2 linked regions of the Macaca fascicularis genome follow. The protein of the gene in region 2 purifies or fractionates together with the protein of the main gene of each other region. This does not show direct contact. Links are inferred from orthologs where the notes say so. Each region holds a gene or a part of one and is shown on either strand. Other genes may lie near its edges.

What was found.
Region 1: the proteins of USP18 (region 2) and STAT2 purify together in Homo sapiens (affinity purification with western blotting; 6 studies listed by BioGRID and IntAct, with this or other methods). This does not show direct contact. The link is inferred for Macaca fascicularis from reciprocal best matches to the Homo sapiens genes USP18 and STAT2.

Annotation. Positions count from the first base shown.
Region 1 is NC_088385.1:63,163,547-63,168,081, forward strand, and holds the start of STAT2 (signal transducer and activator of transcription 2), read right to left. Parts: upstream 2,854-4,535; 5' UTR 2,635-2,853; intron 1-2,634. Other genes in the region: APOF (apolipoprotein F), read right to left, coding at 3,801-4,535. UniProt on the Homo sapiens protein: Signal transducer and activator of transcription that mediates signaling by type I interferons (IFN-alpha and IFN-beta).
Region 2 is NC_088384.1:34,043,648-34,047,933, forward strand, and holds the start of USP18 (ubl carboxyl-terminal hydrolase 18), read right to left. Parts: upstream 3,076-4,286; 5' UTR 2,980-3,075; intron 1-2,979. UniProt on the Homo sapiens protein: Interferon-induced ISG15-specific protease that plays a crucial role for maintaining a proper balance of ISG15-conjugated proteins in cells. Regulates protein ISGylation by efficiently cleaving ISG15 conjugates linked via isopeptide bonds.

The sequences.
Region 1 (4,535 bases), on a different chromosome or scaffold from region 2:
CCTCGTGATCTGCCCACCTCAGCCTTCCAAAGTGCTGGGATTACAGGTGTGAGCCACCGCACCCAGCCGGCCCCAACCTGTATTTTAATAGCTTCAGTAAGTGGGCCTTTGTGCTTTAATGGGAATTTTCTTTTCTTTTTTTTTTTTTAAGACAGGGTCTCACTTGGTCACCCAGGCTGGAGTGCAGTGGCATGATCGTGGCTCAGCTTTGATCTCTCAGGTTCAAGCGATTCTCTGCCTCAGCCCCTCAAGGAGCTGGGACTACAGGAGTGTGCTATCACGCCAGCTAATTTTTTGTAGAGATAGGATTTTGCCATGTTGCCCAGGCAGATCTCAAACTCCTGAGCTCAAGTGATCTGCCTGCTTCAGCCTTCCAAAATGCTGGGATTACAGGCATGAGCCACCATAACCAGCCTAATGGTAATTTTCAAACACACACTAAAGCAGAGTGACTAGTACAAGGATCACCATCCAGCTTTAACAAACTACTGTTTCCACTATCTTATTTCATCTATCTCTCTAATTCATTTATTTTGCATTTATGTGTTTGTTGTTTATATTTGTTTATGCTAAACAAATATAAGCATTTAAAGATCAGTGTTGATGTTAAGTATTTATTACAGCATGATCCCTGCTGACCCTGAAGCTTTTTTTTTTTTTTGAGATGGAGTCTTGCTCTGTCACCCAGGCTGGAGTGCAGTGACATGATCTCGGCTCACTGCAAACTCTGCCTCCCGAGTTGAAGGGATTCTCCTGGCTCAGCCTCCTGACTAGCTGGGACTACAGTCGCCCACCACCATGCCCTGCTAATTTTTGTATTTTTAGTAGAGATGGGGTTTCACCATGTCATCCAGGCTGGTCTGGAACTTCTGACCTCAGGTGATCTGCCCACCTTGGCCTCCCAAAGTGCGGGGATTAGAGGTGTGAGCCACCATGCCCGGCCACCTGAAGCTTTTTTAGGAGCTAAATCTTTTTGGAGGTTAGGTAAGTACACCCTATAAACTGCCCTCCATATAGGAAGGAGGAGCTCCATGCTAGAAGACATCTAAATGCTATGCAACGGGTTGCTCAGTCCCTAAGAATATGACACGTTTATGACCTGTGAATCTTGAATATAAGTTATCAACTTTGTGAGATCCTGAAACTTCACTTAAATTTTTTTTGTTTTTTTTGTTTTGGCAGGGCACAGTGGCTCATGCCTGTAATTCCAGCACTTTGGAAGAGGCGGGAGGATCACTTGAGGTCAGGAGTTCAAGACCAGCCTGGCCAATGTGAAATCCTATCTCTACTAAAAATACAAAAAAATTAGCCAGGCATGTTGGTGGGCACCTGTAATCCCAGCTACTCAAAAGGCTGAGGCAGGAGAATGGCCTGTACCCAGGAGGCAGGGGTTACAGTAAGTGGAGATCACATCCAGCCTGGGAGGCAGAGTGCAGTCTCTGAATCAAAACAACAACAATGAATTGGCTTTTGCCTGTCACCAAGCAGGCTGTGCCTTGCATCCTTCTCCCCACTGTTCCCTGCTCGCTGCCATCTGGTGTCTATTTAGGAAACTGAAACTTAAGCTTGTTGCAGCCTGAGCCTAACAAAACAGAATTCATGCACATTAGTGGTCTAAAAAGGTCACATGATTTTATTACAAAGTAAAAAGAAATGCTTGGGGTGGTATAGTCTTCTACTAACATGAATAACATCAGCTGCCCTTCTACCTCCAGCAGGAACAAGGGAAGGGAGGGATTGGGCAGGGGCTATTTTCATTTTAACCCTTTTAGTAGTGCTTGATTTTTAAAACTATGTGTCTGTATTGCTTTTATGATACAAAAAAATATAAGTTAAAAAAATGATTAGGTGGCCAGGCATGGTGGCTCATGCCTGTAATCCCAGCACTTTGTGAGGCCCACAAGACGGGAGGATGGCTTGAGCTCAGTCAGGAGTTTGAAACCGAGCCTGGGCAACATACTGAGATTCCATCTTTAAAATAATAATAATAATAATAATAATAATAATAATGAGGTCCCAATTCTTGAGGATTTAAGTGTCTGATATTAAAGGAGCAAGTCAGCAAAGATTCAAATATGAAAACAAAACAAAAAACCTGGTCTCCCCGAATGGATTGCAAACACTGAGGTTAAGAGCTAAAACAATTTTTTCTCATTATCTCTCACTCTTAAGCACATATTTTGCACTCAAGAAGCTTTTCTGAAATGAACTGAATTTTGTGTGTGACCTTAGGCAATGTTTCATCTTTCAGTAGCTTATACTTTTAAACAAAACAAATAAAGACGATAGATTTATCTATCTTTGTTTTTAGATTTATCTATCTTTGAACATCGTTTTTAGGTGAAGATAAAAAATAATGCAGAGCAGAGTAACGTCAGATACCGAACCAACAATGCCAGATTCCGGGTCTCGGAAGCTGCAGGGCAGTTTTCGGGGAGGGGCATTGGGGTTGGGGAGATAGGCTGGACAGGAGAAGATCGAGAACCGAGCAGGCGACAGACAGCTCCTCTTTCAACCTGGGGACAGAAGCTGCCCCCTCCAGGGCGTAACTCCTGGGGCCAGTCGCCCTTCCCTGGGAGGAACTCTCACTCTCACCCCCACCCCTACCTCAGCACACCCTCTCAGGGCCCGTACCTGATTAGGGTTGCAGTCTCCGCGCCCTCCACTGGCTCTGGTCGCGACTTCCCGTCCGTAGAAGGAGTTCGGGTACTAGAGCCTCAGGCCCCGCCTACAACTTCGGCCTACACCCTCGGACCCGCCCCCTCGTAGTTGGCAGCGGAAGTCCGGAGCGGCCCCATTCCCAGTCGCCACCCCGACACTGGCTGCCACTCAGTCAAGCCCTTCCCAGACTGCGAACTCACTGGCGCCGCCGCAACTACACCCCCCCGCGGGGCGGGACAAGCTGAGCCGAAACCACACCTGCAGCTCCAGCGATTGGTGGAGAAGTTCAAGTAGGCACTTTCTACGAGGGGAGGAGTCTAATTAGTGGACTGGCCCAAGACTGAAACAGCTGATTTTCGAGAACCCGCTCGTGAGCCACGGAACCGAAACTAGCTTGAGGAGCCTGTAGACGCCAAGGGCTCCATGGGAAGGGGTGGGACCGGAATTTCGACGCCTTGGGATAGGAAGAGGAGGGCTGAGGTAATGAAAACAGTATTTTTTTTTTTTTTTTTTTTGAGACGTGGTCTCGCTCTTATCACCCAGGCTGGAGTGCAGTGGCGCGACCTCGGCTCACTGCAGCCTCGACCACCCGGGCTCAGGTTATTCTCCCGCCTCAGCCTCCCAGGTAGCTGGGACTACAAGCGTGCATAACTCCGCCAGGATAATTTTTTGTGTTTATTGTAGAGACGGAGTTTCGCCATGTTGCCCAGGCTGGTCTTGAACTCCTGACCTCAGGTGATCCTCCTGCCTCGGCCTCCCACAGTGCTGGGATTACAGGCATGAGCCACTGCACCTGGCTAATAGCTATTTATTGAGAGTACTGTGATAAGCACTTTAGATTAATTGTGTCATTTAAAATTTACAGGGCAACTCATTGAAGTTAAAATCATTCTCTCCTTTAGAAATTTAAAAACTGATCTTAGTTCAAGAAAGAAGTTACCAGTCAGTGATCACGGAGGCTCTAACAAGTGGAGCCTAGATTCAAAACCAAACCCTCTGACTTCAACCCCCAAACATTTACGTTCCTACGTTTTACTGTACAGCCTTACTCCTGAATAAATCGGAGTTTAAAATTTTGAAGACATGTATACAGCTTGTCAGGATATTAGATTTATTAGTTCTGTGGTTACTACCTTCTTTTATATCCCAAGACTCCCAGCCCCAGGATCTAAGTCATAGCTCTTGATTATGGCCCACCCCCAGTAGGGAGCTGAACTTACTACTTCTGATATGAAAGAAGCCAGGGTAGTTGTTTCTTCCAAGTCACTCACATCTGAGATGGCCCTTAAACCCTCCTTGGTGGTCTCTGGCTGAGAGATGTTTGCGTCTTTCCGATCTTGGTAATACTGGATCAACTGCTGAACCCCAGACCTTAATGCAGGTTTAAGTGCAGCACTGATCGCTAGACCCATAGGTCCCCCTGACATCCCGGCCATGGTCATCAGAAGGTCATATCCCAGATCTATGGCCCCATCTCGGCCTCGTTCCCTGGCCTTGCCCAGGCAGTTTTGAGTAGCATAATACAAAGCTGTGCCCAGGTTGTAGAAGGTTCCCACTCCTGGCAGCAGCTGGATGACATTGTGCATACCTTGCTCCTTCTCATTCTCACAGTCCTCTGTGGGGAGGGAGCGCCGGACCCTTCCTGTGCTTTGCTGCTCCCTGGCTAACAGCTGCAGAGCAGAGGCCAGGGCTTCCACTGACACGTTCCTCTCTGTGCTTCTTCCTGTCTGGAGCCCTTGAAGATGCTGGATGAGGACCTGTGTAGCATTCACACCACCCTGGCGGTAGAGCTGTAGCTGTAGAGCCCAAACATCAGCCTGGCAACCAGCTTCCTCCAGGGCATTCCTTAGAGCCAGGCTTACCAAGAACTTGGG
Region 2 (4,286 bases):
CAAACTGAACCCGACTCAAAAAAAAAAAAAACAAAAAAACCCAGTCCGGGCGCGGTGGCTCAGTCCTGCAATCCTAGTACTTTGGGAGGCCAAAGCGGGCGGATCACAAGGTCAGGAGTTCGAGACCAGTCTGGCCAACATGGCGAAAACTCATCTCTACTAAAAATACAAAAAATTAGCTGGGCACGGTGGAGGGCGCCTGTAATCCCAACTACTTGGGAGGCTGAGGCAGGAGAATCGCTTGAACCCGGGAGGCAGGGGTTGCAGTGAGCCGAGACAGTGCTATTACACTCCAGCCTGGGCAACAAGAGCAAGACTCTGTCTCAAAACAAAACAAAACAAAACAAAAAACCCAAATACTAAACTAACTTAGCTCCTGCCCTACCTGAATTTTTTTTTTTCTGGTTCACCTTCTCTCATGATCTTCCCGAAATGTTATCCTTAGGCTTCGAGGAGAGGAGAGCAACCCAAGGAACTGGCCCAGGCCCACCACTAAAGTAGCCCCAGGACCAATCAGGGTCCTCAGAGAAGCCCCAGAAGAGCCAGGAACACGCTGCAGAAAACCTGGGGAGGGCGGGGCCTCCACCCAACACTCCACTCACAACTGGACTCTGCCAGGAAAGCCAGCTCCAACATTTAGATGCCCTAAAAGGAACAAAATTAACCTTCCAGGAACATGATTCCAGCAGCCTCAGCGTCTTCCGACCCAACCCATCATGGCAACCACAATTGTAGACCGCAGTCTCAATGACGTGTTCACATCATTTTGCATTTCTTTTTTTTTTTTTTTTTTTTTTTTTTTTTTTTTTTTTTTTGAGACGGAGTCTCGCTCTGTCACCCAGGCTGGAGTGCAGTGGCGCGATCTCGGCTCACGGCAAAGCTCCGCCTCCCCGGTTCAAGTCATTCTCCTGACTCAGTCTCCTGAGTAGCTGGGACTACAGGCGCCCGCCCCATGCTCGGCTAATATTTTTTATTTTTAGTAGACAGGGTCTGCACCGTGTTAGCCAAGGCGGTCTTGATCTCCTGACCTCGTGTTCCGCCCGCCTTGGCCTCCCAAAGTGCTGGGATTACAGGCGTGAGCCACCACGCCCGGCCTATTTTGCATTTCTTGAGTAATCGTAATATGCGGGTTAGAACACACGGATTACAACACTTTGGATGAAAAGCCACATAATAGGGAAATTTTGGGACTACTGTCTCTCAAAAAAATAAAAATAAAAAACAGCTCATGTGGAAGAACCAGGACTTACCTTCTTGGAAACTATGTTTATGTTAAGCATTTTCCCCTTTGTAAGCCCATCACTGTGTAAAAGTGTCAAAACTGTGCAACACATTTTTTAACAGTCCAAAACCAGGTTATTTGATAAATCAAGATGCAGTCGTGCACCTGTTACTCTCCCTCCCGTTTTGTTCCTGTGAACACATCAGATAACCTGCATTCACTCTCCAACTCTGTACAATACCAGAAAGAAACGTCAGATGAAATGCTTTTCAATATTTGCCTTTTTTCTGGAACAACTTATACAAATATAACTTACACAAATTATACATAAATAAGTACAAATTAAAGCCTCTGCTTTAATTTTCAAACACTTTGAACCCAGATTTTCAGGGGTCTCAGAATAGAGTTTTGTATTTAAAGTCTAAATTTGGCCGGGCGCAGTGGCTCAAGCCTGTAATCTCAGCACTTTGAGAGGCCAAGGCGGGCGGATCACGAAGTCAGGAGATCAAGACCATCCTGGCTAACATGGTGAAACCCCGCCTCTACTAAAAATACAAAAAAAAATTAACTGGGCGTGGTGGCGGGCGCCTCTAGTCCCAGCTACTTGGGAGGCTGAGGCAGGAGAATGGCGGGAACCCGGAAGGTGGAGCTTGCAGTGAGCCTAGATCACGCCACTGCGCTCCAGCCTGGGCCACACAGCGAGACTCCGTCTCAAAAAAAAAAAAAAAAAAAAGTCTAAATTTAGCTTTCTTCCAAGGAAAAGGGGGAAAGAAGAGAGGTTAAGACTAAAATATTCTGATTTGCAGACTTTGACAACATCCTTCCAATTTCTCAATATGAATGCCCACTGACCCAGCCATTCCACTTCTAGGAATTTTCCACCAATATATTTGTATGAATGTATACATAAAATGATATTCATTGCTGTATCTATGCCAGTAAAAACTGGAAACAACCTAAATCTCCATGCATTGTTTAAACAATGTACTTCCCATACTATGTATCAGGTTTTTTTGTTCGTTTGAGACAGAGTTTCGCTCTGTCGCCCAGGCTGGAGTGCAATGGTGCGATCTTGGCTCACCGCAGCCTCCTCTTCCGGGGTTCAAGCGATTCTCTTGCCTCAGCCTCCCGAGTGGCTGGGATTACAGGCACGTGCCACCACTCCCGGCTAATTTTGTATTTTTAGTAGAGACGGGGTTTCTCCACGTCGGTCTGGAACTCCTGACCTCAGTTGATCTGCCCGCCTCGATCTCCCAAAGCGCTGGGATTACAGGCGTGAGCCACCGTGCCAGGCCACGTCAGTTTTTTGTTTTATTTTTAATGCCATTAACACATCTATATGTCCTGCCATGAAAAGATGTCCATAATATACTCAGTGGACAAAGCAAGTTCGAAACGATTTTAAAGACTTGTACATAGAAACATTTCTGATAAGGTACAAACAAAAATGATACTGAGTGGAAGATTGAGAGACACATTTGTCTGCATTGTTTGAATTTTTTTTACAAGCTTACAACACTTCTGTAATTTCTTTTTTTTTTTAAATTAAACACAAAGTCATGCCAAAAGTCCAAATAACTATATTAGCTTAGAAAAAAAAATCCATTGGCCCAATATATGCACGTAGCAAATACAGATCGCTATCATAATTTGCAGAGCACAATCATTACTTATTTCCTTAATTATCTGACTGGCGTAAGAGCAGAGTTGGATGTCTGCGCTAGAAAGAAAACTTCCAAAATGAGCCCCAAACTTGCCTCAAGCGCCACGCAAGCGTCCAGCCTCCGCTGCTGAGTTCCACGGCGTGACTGAGCCGGGGACGCAGCTGCGGCCGAAGTTCCGCGCCTTGGTCTGGCCGCGCGCTCGGCTGCGCCCCGCCCAGCTTTCGTTTCCCATTGAATGGAAAGCGAAACTTAGAGCGGCCTCCGCGCCACGAGCGGGGCGCCGGCGTGGCGGGAAACCGGGCCGGCCCAAGCCTCCCGCAGCGGCCGTCGCAACCGCGCACCTGCTCCAGACATCACGCGCTCGCTTTTTTTTTTTTTTTTTTTTTTTCCCTGAGACGGAGTCTCATTCTGTGGTCCAGGCTGGAGTGCCGTGGCGCTATCTCGGTTCACTGCAAGCTCCGCCTCCTGGGTTCAAGCGATTCTCCAGCCTCAGCCTCCGGAGTAGCTGGGATTACAGGTGCCTGCCATCACGCCTGGCTAATTTTTATATTTTAGTAGCGATGGTGTTCCGCCATGTTGGCCTGTCTGGTCTCGAACTCCTGATCTCTGGTGATCCGCCCGCCTCAGCCTCCTAAAGTTCTGGGATTACAGGTGTGAGCCACCGCCCGACCTACAGGCGCCTTTTTATTTGCGATTTTAAGGTCCCTGCAATTAGCATACGTCTTAGAGTCATTTGGCGTTTGGTAATATCCATGGCAGCATTTTTTCTTTCTTAATGCTATTGTATTTCTTGGATCCAGTGTCCTCACATCACGGGTCTATGGCTTGGATGTGGCACGTGGTGTAATTAGGAGCTTCCCTGTGGGCATGCAGATACAGATATTTCTCTACTTAAGAAGGGGTCAGGCCGGGCACGGTGGCTCACAGCAGGCAGATCACCTGAGGTCAGGAGTACGAGACCAGCCTGACCAACATGATGAAACCCCCTCTCTACTAAAAGTACAAAAATTAGCCGGGCGTGGTGGCCCGCGCCTGTAATCCCAGCTACTCAGGAGGCTGAGGCAGAAAAATAACAAACCCAGGAGGTAGAGGTTGCAGTAAGCAGAAATCGACAAGAGCAAGACTCCCTCTTAAAAGAAAAAGAAAAGAAAAAGAAAAGAAAAAAAGTCGGGGTCGGGCCCCAGTGAACCCATCATGAAGTCAAAACATCGTAAGTGAAGCCACGGTAAGTGATGGACCATCTGTATATATATAAGGTTAAAAGATCTATAACATGCACACGGGAAAGGCTTATTACCTCTTTAGAGATGTATTTCTTGTATGTAGACTCATGAGGGCAGGGGCAGAAGGGTTATCTGCTAGGGGCCTCAAACTCCAGCCACTGGAATTTGCACAGGAAA